Linked DNA regions of Rhinolophus ferrumequinum. The protein of the gene in region 2 purifies or fractionates together with the protein of the main gene of each other region. This does not show direct contact. Links are inferred from orthologs where the notes say so. Each region holds a gene or a part of one and is shown on either strand. Other genes may lie near its edges.

Region 1 (7,938 bases), on a different chromosome or scaffold from region 2:
GGAGACTGAGGAGCGGGTGCCACCACGTTCTTCATAGCTCCAGTCAAAGCTTCGAGGGGGGCCGTCAGCAGCCCCTTGGCCCTCTGCTTCATCCCCATCTGGCCCCAGTTCCCGAAGCCGATCACTGGAAGACACAAAGCTAGGGGGAGGCAGGCAGCGCGGATCAAAGGGGGCCTTTGGTAGTCTTCCCAGACCCTGAGGAGACTGACCCCCGCCTCCCTGTGCAGCCCCAGCTCCTGCCACTCCAGCCCCAGACCGCCCCAGGATCCAGGCAATCACCCCCCACACCAACCACCTAGTGGGACCCAGTCCTATCTCCAACCTGCTAACCTCTCATACAGAGATTTCCTTTGAGGACGTCTGGACGACTGAAAAAGAGACCCAGTTTCAGTTCAGCTGATTCCTGGTTGCTGGCATGTAGGTCGCTCCTCTTCCCCAATCCCAGGCCCTCAGGGACAAAGAACGGGGCCCATTACCTCTTGCAGATCATCGTCAGCAGATATGCTTCTCTGGAACGGCTGGAAAGTGGGGACTGGCCCCTTCGCAGGATCCTGGGAAGGTGGTAGAGACCTGCCTCAGTGTGGGGCAGGAGGCTGCCTGACCGCGGGTCAGAGGGCGTTCCTTTTCCCTCACCCTCTCCTCAGCTTCCTCTGTTCTACCGTTTTGTCTTTTTTTCTTTTAATTCCTTTGCACTTCTCTTATCTGACTGTGTGGGATTTTTAAATAAGTGACCCTAATAAACCCTTCAAGTATTTAGTTTACCTAAACACTTCTTGAACCTGACGCCATTTCAGCCTGTTCAGCTCCTTAGAGCACAATCTAAGAGCTCGCACACGCACAACAGAGCCGCAGAATGTGTAAAATGGAGAATTTAGGAGTCACCCATTTTCTTCATTTTTCAGATAAGCAACCTGAAGCTCAGAATGGTAGCGCATTTTGCCCGTGATTGACAGGTATCACTTTTTCCCTAAACCACCTCCATTGCTCTTGGAGGGATGCCTTCCGAAGTCAGGGGTCCCCTGAACTATCTTTCTGCTTGTGCTTACCTTTAACTTCCCCTCTAGGGTTCGAGAGCGTTTGAAGCCCGAGTTCTTGGTCTCGGCCTTGATGGCACTGATGGCTCCTGACTTCACCAGCTGCTTTGCCTGCTCTGTTGCCGTGGCTGTGTCCACCACAGGCTGCTCTGACAGTGCTGCAGTGGTGAGGGAAAGAGGCATGACGTCAGCCAGGCTGCGAGAGGTCAGCCCCGTGCTCCCTACTCGCAGCCTATCCCCGTTTCCCTGTCACTCACAGCGTTTGACACCACCCTGGCTGGCTGTGCTGCTGCTGCTTTGCTTCTTCAGAGCCAGCAATGCCTTTTTCTGGGAATGAGAAGAGAGGAGTTGGTGAGGGCCAGTCTCTGACCAGGTCCTCTCCTAAGGCCCCTGGGTGCGTCACTCCAGGGGACACCTTTCTCAGAGAAAACAGTGCAAATGGTGCCCCTGGAGTAGTTCACTAAAGCAGCCCTGCCTCTTACACACGGGCCCGGTTCACGCACAGCGCCACCGATACTTAAGGTATCCAAACCATGGTATCCCAGAGCATCACATTTTTGAAGTAGAAAACAAGAAAGTCAATGATGGACGAGAGCCCCAGGTTATGAGCTGCAAGTAAATAAACGCCTACATGCTTTCTGGAGTGCATCCATCCATACCCTGTTTGTTTAATAAGAACTTGCCATTCATTACTTTGTATGGGGAGGAGACGCACTTCCTCCCCAAGTTTACAATCTGAGAAACAAAGTGGCTAGACTGAATTATCAAGAATGATTATAAGACGTGCAGACTGCTTGCAGCTGAGAGTAAGATTTTCTGAAGCCAAATGGTTATTAAACTGGACCCTAGGTAGCATCTGCATAATAGAAACTGAAGAAAAAAGGCATTTTAGACAAAGAAAACTGTGGCAAAAATACAGAGATAAGAAGCTTTGGGGATGCATGTCTTGGGACTAGTGAATAGTTCTAGTTTACTAAAAAGGGATGCCACAAGTTAAGGTTTTGTTCTACAGACAATGTGAAACCACTTAAGGGTTTTGAGAAAAAGAGGGACAAAGTCTTATGTTTTCAATGGATTGTTTTAATAGGAGTGAAGAAGTCTGTTAAAAATAAACAAACACTAAAAACTTGTCGAGAGACCATTACAACGGTCTAGATGAGTGTCAGCAAAGACCTAGATCTATGGAATACATAATACAGGAAAAAATAAATAGAAGTTACTTCCAAGGAAGAATTCAGAAGACTTGGCAAACGTTTGGCGAAGCAAACAGCGAATCAGAGATGAGATTTTGATTCTAAACACATGGGAGAACTGAATGTGATCACGCCTTATTTGGAAGAGCAAGAAAAGGAACTAGATTAGTATAAACAGGAAGATAATAGCTTTAATTTTGGATATCTGAAGGTTATCAGTAAGACATCAGATGGAACTGGAAAAACACCAAACGTGGAATCACCAGCTTTTAGGTGGTACTAAAAGCCACAGGAAAGGAAGACAACTCCATGGCAGAGTGAATAGAAAAGAGAGAAGGTACACAGACTTGGGAAAAGCCCACCTCTGAGGCTACACTGAGAGGTGCCAGTGTGCCGGTGTGAGCCAGAAGAACCCTCCATCCCTCACACTCACCCCAGGTGGTCTCAGAGGGTAGAGTCTGTGAAAGGTTGGGCGATGCCCACACACACTCCCTCACCTTTTTCTTCAGTTTGTTGAATTTCTTCTGCAGAGCCTCCTCCTCCTCGCTCAGTCCGGGGGGTATCACCAACATGGTGGCTCCTGGTTCAGGGGCAGGGCCCAAGGCATCTTTCTCCACTGTCACCGCCCGGGGTTCACACGCCGTCCACTCCCCCGACCCCCCCCTTCAGGCCTGCCTACTCCTGTGTGTTGGCTCTCCCTACCCCCTGCTTAAGCCAGGATGCCGTCCGAGCCCCCTCGTCGGGGTCAACCAGCATTCCGTCCTCGCTAGGAATCACAGACACCAGCGCCTTGGGGCCCCCCGTGGCCCGAGGAGAAATACCCCCTCTGTCGCCAAGACGATGGCACAAGACCCCCCCTCTCCCCACTGGAGTTGTTCGTATGGCAACCGGGGGTTCAGAACCGCAGAGGAGGCACTGGAACCCGCGCAGCGCTCTCAGAGCAACGAAAAGGGGAAAAAGAGAGAAAGAGCTCGGAAGAAAGGGGCGAAGGGTGAGAAGGAGAAAGCCTTACCTGAGGGGGCGGCAACCGGGACCCGCGCTCTCGGGCAGCGCCCGCGCGGGCAGCGGATCGCCGGCTCAGAGCGATGACGTATCGAGGGGCGGAGAACGCGGTAACCAAGGCGGCCCGAGGCGCAGTCACTTCCGCCCGACCTTCCACCAATTCAGGGCAGCCCCTCCGTAGCACTCGTGCACACCCCCAGCGGGGTGTGTACCGGAAGTCGCCTCCACTTCCGCCCGTTTCGGGGCGGAGCTTATCACACAGCTCCCCGCTGCGCTTTTGGGCTGCCTGGCCCCTACCGTGGCTCCTAGATGCTGGAGACAGAGCGACTCGGTGAGGGGGAGGGGGTGGAACGAAGAAATAGACAGAGATTGGCCTTGACCTCTGACCTCTGACCTTTCTCCTGTAGTACTACCTCCCCTAGAGCCCCTGGACCTGCCCCTTCGGGCTGTGGAGCTGGGATGCACTGGGCGCTGGGAGCTGCTGAATGTGCCTGGGGCTCCAGAGAGCACCGTGAGTGACTTTTGACCCTAACCTTTGACCCGCATTGAGCTTAAAACCTCTTCCTTACAGTAGGGTCTAGTATGACCAGCTCTTCTCTCCCTGGATACCTGTCCTCGGGGCCTGGACTGGTGCCGGACAGACTCCAGCCTAGTGGGCCTGCTGTGGGTCAGAGCCCATGTGAGGATCAGCCTGCAGCGCTGGGGTACCTTAGCTCTGAGAACTGCTCTTTCAAAGGTTGCAGTCCCTTTCTGTCTCCAAGCACTTGTCGGTGGCTGAGATGCTAGCCTTTGGAGATAAAGGCTCTTCATCTTTAGGTCTGGGATCTCTTTTCCTAAAGCTAGTGATTCTCGAATTTCAGTATGCCTCATGATTAGTGGGGGAGCTTTTTAAAAATACATATTCCTAGGTCCAGCCCCAGATTCTGAAGTACAAAATCTGTATTATTAACCAGCGCCTCAGGTAATTCAGCAGCAGGCCGTTTGTCCTGTAAAAAATGACAACCTTTGGAAAATCTTCCTTCACCTTAATTGTCCTAGTCTGTCTGAGACATCTACCATTTCTGATCTCAACACAAGTCCCATCACTTTCTCTCATCTTGTCCTTGTTCCAGCTTCCCCACGGCCTCCCCCCCTGTGCCCCGGATCTGCAGCAAGAAGCAGAGCAGTTGTTTCTGTCATCTCCAGCCTGGCTGCCTCTGCATGGTGTGGATCACCCAGCCCGGTGAGGGGTCTGGAGGGGACTGGACTAGTGAGATGGGTCTCTAAAAGAAGCTGAGACAGAGGAGAAAGAAGACCTGAAAATTACTTCCTTCTCATCAGAAAATGGCAGAGGAAGATGGATCCTTGGTCTCTCCTGGCTGTACTGGGGGCCCCAGTTCCCTCCGATCTACAAGCCCAGAGACACCCAACCACAGGCCAGATACTGGGCTACAAGGAGGTAAGTGATCAGGGGCCATGAGAAGCAGAGTTGGGAAAAGGCGGGTCAGAGGCAGGCTCAACCTCACTGAGGCTCTGATCTCTTGCCTCAGGTCCTGCTGGAGAATACAGACCTGACGGCCACGACCTCCTTGTCTCTTCGCCGGCCACCAGGGCCCGTTTCCCAGTCCCTATGGGGGAATCCAACACAGTACCCTTTCTGGCCAGGTGACTCTTGTGGAAATGAGATGGTTGGGGAGGGAGCCCTCAGTCTCCAAGGAAGGGTTCCCGTATCACCCCTCATGAATCTTTATTTGTCCAACCTCTCCCCAGGTGGAATGGACGAGCCCACCATAACAGATCTGAGCACTCGGGAAGAAGCTGAGGAGGAGATAGACTTTGAGAAAGGTGAGGTGGTGCCAGGATGGACCCTTGGGCGGCAGGGCTTCAAGTCTGGACCTTGCAGATGAGGGGACCAGGCCTATCACTGGGCTGCTTCATGCCTTTGAGCAAATTAGGAAAAGGCACCCTTTCCATAACAACCTTCTTTGTCATTTATTGGAAAGTGGTTACAACAAATGTTCCCAGTTACAACGTTTGTGCTGTGAATGACATCCTTTAGGTTTATGCAATGTACAATTTGTATAACGGTGTGCAGTGGCCCCATTCTCTCTCTGTCCCGGTCCTCCAGAGCTTCTTACCGTTCCACCTGGCTTCAAGAAAGGCGTGGACTTTGCACCAAAGGTGAGTTTTGAGGTGGGGGCATGGAGAAGTGGTGCCCTTATCTTACAGGACAGAGATGGACCTGACCAGGTCCCCTTTTTTTGCCTTTCTCCTCAGATCACTCAGCTCCAGCTCGTGGTTTGCTCAGCCTCAGCCGTCTGCTGGAACCCCTGGATTTGGGTGGGGGAAATGAGGATGGGAGGGAGGCAGTGGGACAGCCGGGAGGTACCAGAGGGGACACTGCTCCAGCCTCTCCCTGCAGTGCTCCCTTGGCCCGAACAAGCAGCTTGGAGGACCTAGTGTTGAAGGTTGGTGCTTCTGGGTGGTCGAGGCAGGAAAGAAGCAGCCTTGCCGCTGGGAGGGTGGACTGGCTTGGTTGGGTCTAAGGGGAAGATTGGAGCGTCTTTTGGGAGGAGTAGTAATGGAAAGTTTTCTGGCTATAACTTCATCATTCCTACCCCCGACTTTTTCAGGAAGCGACCACAGCTATATTGCCCACCGAGCTCCCCAAAGCCCTACCTCAGGAGCAGTGGGCTATTCCTGTGGATGTCACCTCCCCTGTTGGTGATTTCTATCGCCTCATCCCCCAGCCAGCCTTCCAGGTAGTGTGGCCCCGTCCTCACATGCTCCTCCACCTCCTCCCAGCCTCTCCCACCACAGGCCAGAAGCCTTCCCGCCCAGTCTTGGACCTCAGGCCCAGCCTTGCCTCACTCTGGCCTTCTCCCTACTGCCCTGCGTGCCCCATGAGCCAGAGGCAGGAAGGCCCCTCTCCGCTCTTCATTCTCCATGTATTTCTTTGTCCCACAGTGGGCATTTGAGCCCGATGTGTTCCAGAAACAGGCCATCCTGCACTTGGAACGGCACGACTCAGTCTTTGTGGCAGCTCACACGTCTGCGGGGAAGACAGTTGTGGCTGAATATGCCATTGCCCTCGCCCAGAAACACATGACACGGTACGGGTCCCCTCCCCTACCTTCCCCCTTCACCAGCCATTCCTGTTTCCCCTGCCTCTTTTCTAAATCTCATCTCTTCCCCATATCTTTTCTTCATCTTTTAGATGGGAGGTTTTGGGGAGAAACTAAGACGGGGGCCCAGAGAGAAATGAGAAGGTGCCGGGAGAGAGGTTAGAAGGCTGATCTACGTGCGTTTAGTTTAGGAAGAGGTTGAGAGTCAAAAGTTTTCTGGGATCACGTCATGCAGGAGAGTAAGGGCAGATTGGGTGAAGAAAGGGGGCCGCTGAGCCTGCAGTATGCTGCTGGGAGGGCTCAGGGTGGACAGGCGCTGCTGAGCACATGTCGTGTGGAGAGACGCGCTAACCTCACGCCCTCTTCCCAGCACCATCTACACTTCGCCCATCAAGGCTCTGAGTAACCAGAAGTTCCGAGACTTCCGAAACACATTTGGGGATGTGGGGCTGCTCACCGGGGACATACAGCTGCACCCGGAGGCCTCCTGCCTCATCATGACGACAGAGATCCTTCGGTGAGAGATGGGCATTCAGCACAGGTGGATGTGGGGCCAGGAAGCTGAGGCTGCTCTGGAGAGAGTGGCTGAGTTAAGAGTGGAGACGGGAGCTACTGGGGAGTCAGCCTTCGGTCTCTTCTCCCCAGCTCCATGCTGTACAGCGGCTCGGATGTCATCCGGGACCTGGAGTGGGTCATCTTTGATGAGGTTCACTACATCAACGACGCTGAGGTAAGCGCCGCGGGGCTCATGTGGGCCTGGTCCTTTCCTGTGGGACTGGTTCAGCAGCTCCCTATTCCCCCCTGAGCTGCCCGTGACTCGTTTTCCCTCCCTGTGCCCAGCGCGGGGTCGTGTGGGAGGAGGTGCTCATCATGCTCCCTGACCACGTCTCCATCATCCTTCTGAGTGCCACTGTCCCCAACGCCCTTGAATTTGCTGACTGGATTGGGTGAGGCGTGTGTCCTGGGGTGCTTGGGTGAAGGCCGCTGTAGTAGTGCTTGGTTGGGGTAGGGGGCCAAGACTGCCACAGCCTTGGGGGTGGGAGAAGAGGGTGGGGCTGGGGAACACGGCCCACTTGGGCCCAGACTACTTTGCATGTTTAGAGATACGATGACGGGGACAGCCTTCCAATCCGGCTTCCAGAAAAGGCTGGGTGAGGCCCGAGGGGGAAGGTGGTGGCGTGTGCGCTGCTCCTCCCACATCCCCCGCCCCCGCTGTCTCCCGCCCATCAGACGACTGAAGCGCCGTCAGATCTATGTGATCAGCACTGTCACTCGCCCCGTCCCCCTAGAGCATTATCTCTTCACGGGGAACAGCCCCAAGACGCAGGGTGAGCTCTTCCTGCTGCTGGACTCCCGAGGCACCTTCTACACAAAGGGGTAAGCCGGAGATGGGGAGTCAGGGCTGGCCTGGCTGGGTGTGACTGTGACGCCGCCCTCTGCATCCCCAGTACTATGCAGCTGTGGAGGCCAAGAAGGAGAGGATGAGCAAGCATGCACAGACCTTTGGGGCCAAGCAGCCCACGGCATCAGGGGGGGCCTGCACAGGTGCGAACCAGTAGGCTTTGTACCTGTCACCACCTGTTCCTTCCTGTTCTTTCTTCCCTG
Region 2 (8,521 bases):
AGGTGTGTGTGGGGGAGAAGCCTGCTAACAGGTAACAGAGTTTATTTTGGGGTTGGTGAAAAATGTTCTAAAATTGACTAAGATGACAGCTGCACAACTCTGAATATATTAAAAACCAATTCAACTGTACATACTGAATGGGTGAATTCTGTGATGTGTGAGTTGTCTCAATAGAACTGTTACAAAAAACTCATTCATGATTAAAATAGTTTTTTTTTTTAATCTAGGAACAGAAGGGAATTTCCTTAACCAGTAAAAAATATCTGCCAAAAATAATAGGAAACATACTTATTGGCAAATATTCAAAGTTCTTCCAGTGTTGCTGTCACACAGCAACCTAGCCGACTGTCGCCCCATGTCTTTCCTTGAGGAAAGACGGGTCTGTGAGACTGTGCCTTTCTGGGACTTTGTTTTATCTTGATGTTTTACACCTCATGTCTCTCTGTCTGGTCCCCAAAAGATGGTTTGCAGCCAATGATGAGTAAGATTCCCCATGGGGGGGCAACTTAAGCCAAGCAGAACCATGTGGGGACCCCCAATGAGCTAGCTGCCTTGGAAGATCTGGGAAGGGGCCTTGCTTGCCTCCCCTTCCCGCTGCCTAGAAAAAGCCACTGCTGACTCCGGCTTTCCCCTCTCACCTGATTGTGAGAGCGATACAATCAGCTCTCCCCTCTAACCCTACAATTAAGTGTCAGCATGAGAGACCTGTCCCTAAGGAGGACATACCACCATTGTTAAGACACCATGGGACTTTCTGTTTCGGCTGTTTACAGGCAAGCGTGATTGGTTTGAATCATTTTTCTGGTATGATGTATGAGATTCACAGACTGTGGAAAAGACAATGCTACTTCCTTGTATGATAATCAATAAAAGCCACCAGTCAGCTCGATTCTGGGCTCCAGTCTTTCAGAACTGTGAGACCCCTGGCCTTCTGAGATTTAACTGCATTAAGTCTCTGTTTCTTTCTTCCTTAAAACTTAACCCAACGCCACCCCTTCTCGTCCCCTTACAGCCTGTGTTGCGCTGGACGCGACAGTGTGGCCAGAAACAATGTACTGGAGTGTCCTGGTGAATGCAATAAGGCAAATGAATGAATGAATGAATGAATGAATGAATGAATGAATAGCAATTGGAAAGAGAAATAAAATAAGAGTTAAGTGCACAGAAAAATGAAGATTCTACAGGAACATTATTGCAATTAGTAAGACTAGCACAGATGCTATTCACAAACTCATCTAAAAATAAAATTTTAACGGATATTTATATCAGCACGAGAAAACATGAAATATCTAACAGAAACTGGAAGGCGTCTGCTGAGAAAATCATGCAGCTTTACAACAAATATTAACATTAAAGACGATCTAGGAGCTTGTAATGCGGGAGCGGTGTTCTCTGGCAGCCAAGTCCGGCAGGGGCAAAGCCAAAGCAGGGCCTGGGGCTGCTCGGAGCACGAGGAGCCTGCTGGGCCTGGTCCCTCCTCTCTCAGGAGCACACCCCTGCCAAGGTCAAGACTGTTCACGTATTTTTGAAATAACAAGAACCCAACTGTTTCTGGATGCTCACGGAGGTGTCCAAGAGAGGACTCAATCCGGAGCAGCAGTGACCAGGTTGTCTCCACGCTAAAACAAACGAAACGCAAACCCAAATATTAAAGATGTAAGTTGAGATATGCCTATATTAATAATTCATGAGAGTCAATATTATTAAGACGATTTAACCCCAGAATGAACTATAAATGCAACTCAGTCTTAATCAAACCCCAAGTTGTACGTGGGCGTACGTGTAACCTGAGAAGTGAAGGTAACACACACGGAAGTGCAAAGGGCCAAGAAGAGCCACAGACCCTGAAGAATAAAGTGGGCGGGTCTGCGCCGTTAGCTATCAAGACTTACTGAGCTAGAAAGTGGCACAAAGAGGCTTAGTGTCATTAATACGTAGCCTACAGGAACAGAGGAGAGCCCAGAAACAAACCCACAGCCTAAGTGACAGCGCAGATCAGCAGGCTGCCCCTGGGGCCAGGTGGGCAAGGCTTCCGAGGCGCCTGCGTGCGCTTTGGGTGGCTTTGCGGGACCCCCGCCTGAACTGAACAAACTGGCACTTGTGCGTGCGTTCGCGCTCACAATAAAACAGGCACAAACCTAACATGCAATCGTAAGGGACCGAACAGGAGTGGGGGAAACGTCCAACAACTACGGGGTTCACTGCACGAAGAACCCGCAACACGCCGTTCCCGGACAGGCAGTGTCACCCGCATCAGGATGCTGCAGAAACGGGCGTGCGGCGAAGCCCGGGAGTACCGAGGGACCTAAGTGTGTGGCCACTCTGTGGGCTAAAAATAACAACACGCGGTCCACAGTCACTGGAAAGTTCTCCGCAGGCCATCGCGGCCAGCTCTGCCCTCTGCGCGGCTTTCAGGGACCCAGGGAAACCCGGACAGACTCGCACCCCCACATCAGGGCACTAACCTCCGCGCCCTCCCGCAAACACGCACAGGCACGCACCGCCACCGGCGCTAACAGGTGGTGCCCTAACAGGTGCCCGATGGCGGCTCGGGGTTCGCATCCATCCCCGCTGCCCTGCTCCCCAAACTCCCCTGCAGGCCGAAGGGCTCCGCTTTTCCTCACCCAGAATAAGGGGGCCTGTGAGGGTGACGGTCGGGGGAGGGGCAATGAGGGTGGGGGAAGGGGTGTGCCGTGAGGGGAGCCGCTGGAAAGTTCTACCGGGAGCGCGGAAAACCCAGTGCGGCCTGAGAAGGGGGGCTGTGAGGGTGGGGGGCGTGAAAGTGGGGGGCTGTGAGGGTGGGGGGGCTGAGGGTGGGGGGCGTGAAAGTGGGAGGCTAAGGGTGGGGTGTGTGAAAGTGGGGGGGCTAAAGGTGGGGGGCGTGAAAATGGGGGGCTGTGAGAGTGGGGGGGCTGAGGGGGACTGTGAGGGTCGGGGGAGGGGGTGCTGTGACAGGGGGGCTGGGGGGACAGTAAGGGCCGGGGTCTCGGGTCTAAGGAGCACGGCCGCGAGGTGGAAGGCAGGCCCTGCGCCCCCAACGCCGCCCGCCTCACCTCGTCCACCGTGCGGCGCGGGAGGTGCAGCGTCCCAAGCAACAGCTTGAGCTTTACGGCCGACGAGAGGCTGTGGAAGCAGAGGCGGATGTTGTCGATGACCGCGGCCGTGAGCAGGGACGCGATGCTGGGCGGCGCCCACAGCTCGTCTGTGGCCCCCAGCTTGTTGTGCAGCCACAGGCCCGTGTCGCTCTCCCGCATGGACGCCATCTTGGGGGGGGAAAGCCGGGCGCCGCCGCCGTGCCGGCATCTTATGAAGACACCTACGCGCCCATGGCGAGGACCCCCAACATGGCGGCGCCCGCCCGAGCAGGCTGCGGTGACGTCACAGGCGGGGCGGGGCCTCGGCGAGACGCTTCGTGGTGACGCCCGCGAAGGCCTGCCGGCCGCCCTTGAGTAACATGGCGGCGCCCACGACCGGCTCTCTGAAACAGCCGCGGAGGGTGACGTCAAGAGAGACGGAGATGTCGCGCCGGTGTGGCGTGTGGGCGCGGCGGCTCTGGGCCGAGGCTCTCGACTGTTCCCGCCATGGATCCCAGGGCTTGAGCAGCGCGGGCATCCGGCTCAGGCCTCCCCACGCCTCCCGAGGGAGGGGTCCAGGTCAGACAGACATTTAGGAGCGCCTTTGTCAAAGAGAGCCAGGTCCAGCTTTCATTCATTCCTTCAGCAGTCCAGACGGGCTGAGCACCTACTGTGTGCCTGGCACTATGCTGCGCTCATGAAAGGGACGGAGAATTTCCCTGGGAGTTTATTTGAGCCAAATCTGAGGGCCGGCTAGAAGCAAAATCTCAAAGGACTGAGAAAATGCTCACGGAAGAGCAATTTTGCAGTTCTTTGTATGCATTTAGAATGGAAGGAGAGAAGGTAGGCACGTGGAATCCACAGGTGGCAGGTTAGGAGGCGGAGAAAGCCAGGCGGGCAGTTTCTGGGACTGGATAAAAAGTAAGACGGAGAGACACCGCTTTACACGGGTGGGTGCAGGGCAATTAACACTAAACATTTTGTACAGAGCATGACTTAGGGACACAAAACGGAATCTAGTCATTCTGATAGCTATGTCAGTCACAGAGTGACCGTCATGCCAGGGCGTCACGTGAAAACGTGGAGTGTGACCACCTGGACGATGCTTCCTGGGACTGCAGGAGGGGGCACCGCCCCCCGTCTCGAGCATAAAAGATCAGAGCTCACTGACGGCTCCTCGCTCAGGCCTCAGCCGACCAGCTGACAGCAGCACCTGCACTCGTCCCAGAGGCGGCGCTTGAAGCCTCGCCTCCTGACCGTGTCACCAGCCCACCTGCCGCCCGACACTCCGCAGCCCAGCACCGGAGGACTCTCGCTGGACACCGGACTCTCTCATCCTTCTTTCCTAGACTCTGTTCGCCTCGCCTCACCCTGTTACTTGCAAACCCGTGTGACCCTCCTGTGTGAAACCGCCCTCCCTCGCTATTGGAGGCTGTCCCCGACCAGAGCCTCGGTTAACGCCCGTGGGAAACCAAGTCAGCAGGGCTAGATCCACGCTTTATTCTAATAAAGTCTGACGTTGTGGAAAGACACCAACGTGTGTGAAACGGCTACCGTCACAGCCACGTCCCACTCACGACACATTTACAGCACAGACAGATGGTATGCGGGGGGCAAGGTAACAGGACTGCCGTGCTCTTGCTCTGGTGCCAGCAGTTGTGCCTCTGAGGTGTCTGTAAAAGAGAATTACTCTGACATTTCAAAGGTACGTTATCCTTGATGAGCCCAAGGTAAAGACCAACCTTTGCTAAGGAAGCTGTAGTCCTGGCACGTGACTACCCACTATGACCTGCCCAGTTAGGGATTTATGATCTGACCGTGTATGGTTACTGTTGGTCACTGAGCTTGTCAGGCCTGCCACGTAGCCTGTTGTACGTTCACATCTGGGTGCTGGGGGTACAATAGTGAGACCCAGACCTTTGCCTTCGTGGGTCCCGTGACCCAGGGGAGTGGGCAGTCTACAGAGGTGAAGGTGGTGTGGACAGAAGAGCTGGGCAGGTGTACAGGGAGTGATGGGAGTGCAGTTTTATGCAAATTATGTCTAAAAGGACTGGGGCAAGCTTTCTCAAGCCTGGCCAGTCTCTCTGGTCCCTAGTACCCCTGTGATTGCCATTTGCCAGGCAGCTGTCCCAAGAAAGGGCAAGTGGCTATGCCTGCAGCTGCTCCACGTCCTCAGGGTCAGCTGCAGGTGGCCTTCCAGGTCTGACATCTGCACCTGCCAGGTTTGGGCCTGCGTTTTCCAGATGCCCAAAGGGGGATCAGTGGTCAGGTACCTTTTGAAAGGGAATCAGCCCTGCCTTGGGGGCAATGGGGTGCTTACCACCCGCAGCCCTGAGTTAGTCTTGTGCATAATCAGTGAAGGCACAAAATCAGGGCTTTAACCAAAAGCTGAGTGCCCCTCCGTCTGGAGGGGGGCCCTGTCCTGCCCTGGCCAGCCCCTTCCCACCAGGCCAGCTTCTTCACCTGCCTCCAGTGGTCTCTGTCACAGGGCTCACAGGCGCCGGTGGGCCTCTAGTGGGCCAGGACAACAAACTGGAGGGACTCCCTAGTGCGGTCACAAACTGAGATGAGTGGGGACTTGTTTACCGTGGCACAGCCAGGGCCACATCTCTGAGGAGGTGACACTGCAGCTCAGGGTGAGAGAGGCTGCAGGCAGTGAGTGGCCTGCACACGGAGCACCTCGGGCTCAGGAGGTCTCCCCACCACATCCCTTCCCTGCGCCCCTCCCCTATCACAACCTGGACCTCACCTCCCGAAACAATGCTTGTGCCCACATTTTCCGTCTGACCTCCCCCTGCCCTTCTTGCCCATAGGCTCTAGCCTTCTACTTCATCGAGAACATTTGGGGAACGGGGTTGGGGGCACCTACTGCCTTGCCCTTCTTTCTGTACCTGGGCCGTGGAGAGATCAGCAGTTAGACCCCTCAGACCAGGGTCCTCATTGGTTGGGATGAGGCCCACCTCTGGTTTTATTTCATTGGAGTCTATTTTTCTTCCTTCCACCATCAGTCCCAAAGCTCTCCTGTCCTCAGACATCTCACCCCTACTCTAGTGTGTTTGGAATATGTCTTTGACAAACGTAAAGAGTTCTTATGTGTGTTTGTGTCTTCAGTGGACAGAGATGGGATTGTACCGAGTCTCGTGTCCACCACATTTTCGTCTCCATTCCCCTAGGATTAAACCTTCACATCGCGTCCACTTGCCCACCTTACAGACAATCTATGATGAGGACGCTTGTACGAGTCCCCCAAGGACTATGGGTAAGGGTTTGGGAGGTACAGGCCCAGAGAGGGGTATTGGCCAAATGGCACCCCTGTAATGTCATAGAGGGCTGCCAAGGGGGGCTGCACGTCCCCTCCCAGTTGTGTGCTAGAGCCAGCTTGTACAGGCTTGCAAGAACTATTGTTAATTTTCAGGAATTTTCTAAGCCTGTCATTCAAAACAGCCATTATCAAAAATTAAACTTTATTGTATTCATTTTATTTCTTTACCTTTTACAAGGCATTTTACTTCATCTCACTCTTGCCCATACTCTAGATGTTATTTACGTCCAGTGTAACTGAACGGGGGAAATGCTGTACATTTTGTTATAACGCTGATGAGAAAAAAATGCATCCGCAGCCTGGGCCACGGTCTCTGTGGAGTGTGCACCTTCTCCCCTCATCTTCTCTGGTCCTCCCGTTTCCTCCCGCGTCCCAAAGATGTGCTCATGAGGTGAATGGTGTGTCTACATTGTCCCAGTGTGAGCAAGTGGGCGTGGGTGCACCATGTGATGGCAGGGCCTCCTGTCCGGGGCGGGACCCCCCTTGTGCCCTGAGCTGCCGGGACAGACTCTGGCCACCTGTGACCCTGAACTGGAATAAGCGGGTTGGAAAATCACGACCTTCCTTGTTTTTATTAATTGTTCTTAAATGTATGTGGAGCTCACATTTACTTCAGTGTTTAATATTAGAAGTGTTTTGGGTGTTTATTTGGAAGTTTGGCGATGTGTTTGTGACTAGAAATATGCCGTAGGAACTTAGCTCTGGTTTATACAAATTAGCCGAGGGTAAAACTGGTTTCCTTATACGTCGTTTCGCTTCAAGTCGCAGTTTCCAAGAACCTACCGATGATGTTAGGTGAGGACTGCCGGTAGCCCAGCTGGAGTGCTGCCCAACTCCTCCCAACTCTATGTTCACTGAGGTTGCACGGGCAGCTCGGACTCAGCCATGGTGGGCGTGTTTACACCCCGGGAACGGGCAAGAGCTACACATCAGGGCAGGACTGACTGGTTGATTGTCCAGGCTTAAGAAAGTGATGGAGAAAATGCTAACAATGAAGAAAGCATGTTGTGTCTGTTGTCATTACATTGTGAAGAGCTCACACACACACACACACACTTGAAGCAATGTTTCTTCCAGTATTCAAGCACTATTACCTGATTCAGCAAAAGAAGTCCCTCATGGCACTGACTAACAGGTAAGGTTCTGGAGTAAGTGATGCTAAAGCTAAAAGAAGTTTAAGTTAAATAACTAAGTTTTTGAGGTGGAGAAATAGTTTTGCAGGTGATTAAACATCAAATTTAGTGACAATGCACTTACCGGGGAAGAGCCGATTGGAATAAAACCCCGTATATCAAACAACGCTTGAACTGTAACCATTGCTTGACTGAGATGAAAATCTTTGTTAACTGGATGCAAATGTTCATAGCAGCTTTATTCATATTCATAATGGCCAAAAATTTGAAACAATCCAAATTGCGTTGACCCCATTTGTGGCTTTCTGTGGAATATTCAGTGCTTGGTGTATATGTCCTCAGTCTCATGTCCTTGAAATCAATTGTGAGTCATCAGGAAGAATTCTGCTTAACCACTGGGTTAACAAAGAGAAGACAGACCACTAGAAGGAGGCATTTGCAATATCAAAAACCATCAAAAAGCACCAGTGGATTAACATTTAGAATGTAAAAAGAAATGCCTGTAAATTGGTGAGAAAAAGACAGGCAATCCAATAGAGAACTGGGCAAACGATAAGAAAAGGCAGTTAATAGGAGGGGAACCAGATCCCTGAGACTTAACAAAGAGATGCTTAACTTATCACTAAAACCTGAAAAATCCAAATTAAAATAACATGATGCCTCATTACATCTATTTATTACATTGCGAAATTAGAAAGTCAAAATTTTTGTTTTTAGATATGGATATCTAATTGTCCCAACACTATTTGTTGAAAAGACTGTTCTTTCTCAAATGAACTGCCTTTGAACCTTTGTTAAAAATCTGTTGTCCATGTATGTATGGGTCTATTTCTGGACTGTTTTCTATCCTGATTTATTTTCACTATCTAGCTGTACACTAATACCACACTGTCTTGGTTACTGTAGCTTTATAATAAGTCTTGAAGTCAGGTAGTGTTAGTTCTCCAACTTTGTTCTTTTGCAAAGTTATTTTGGCTATTTTTGGTCTTTCA

The links. The genes of interacting proteins can lie anywhere in the genome.
Region 1: the proteins of NELFA (region 2) and NELFE purify together in Homo sapiens (affinity purification with mass spectrometry; 9 studies listed by BioGRID and IntAct, counting the BioPlex papers as one, with this or other methods). This does not show direct contact. The link is inferred for Rhinolophus ferrumequinum from reciprocal best matches to the Homo sapiens genes NELFA and NELFE.

Annotation. Positions count from the first base shown.
Region 1 is NC_046286.1:2,408,438-2,416,375, forward strand, and holds the start of NELFE (negative elongation factor E), read right to left. Parts: upstream 3,375-7,938; 5' UTR 3,240-3,374; intron 2,808-3,239; 5' UTR 2,800-2,807; coding exon 2,725-2,799; intron 1,362-2,724; coding exon 1,292-1,361; intron 1,193-1,291; coding exon 1,047-1,192; intron 552-1,046; coding exon 477-551; intron 369-476; coding exon 331-368; intron 140-330; coding exon 1-139. UniProt on the Homo sapiens protein: Essential component of the NELF complex, a complex that negatively regulates the elongation of transcription by RNA polymerase II.
Region 2 is NC_046288.1:87,030,591-87,039,111, reverse strand, and holds the start of NELFA (negative elongation factor A), read right to left. Parts: upstream 3,318-8,521; 5' UTR 3,264-3,317; coding exon 3,054-3,263; intron 1-3,053. UniProt on the Homo sapiens protein: Essential component of the NELF complex, a complex that negatively regulates the elongation of transcription by RNA polymerase II.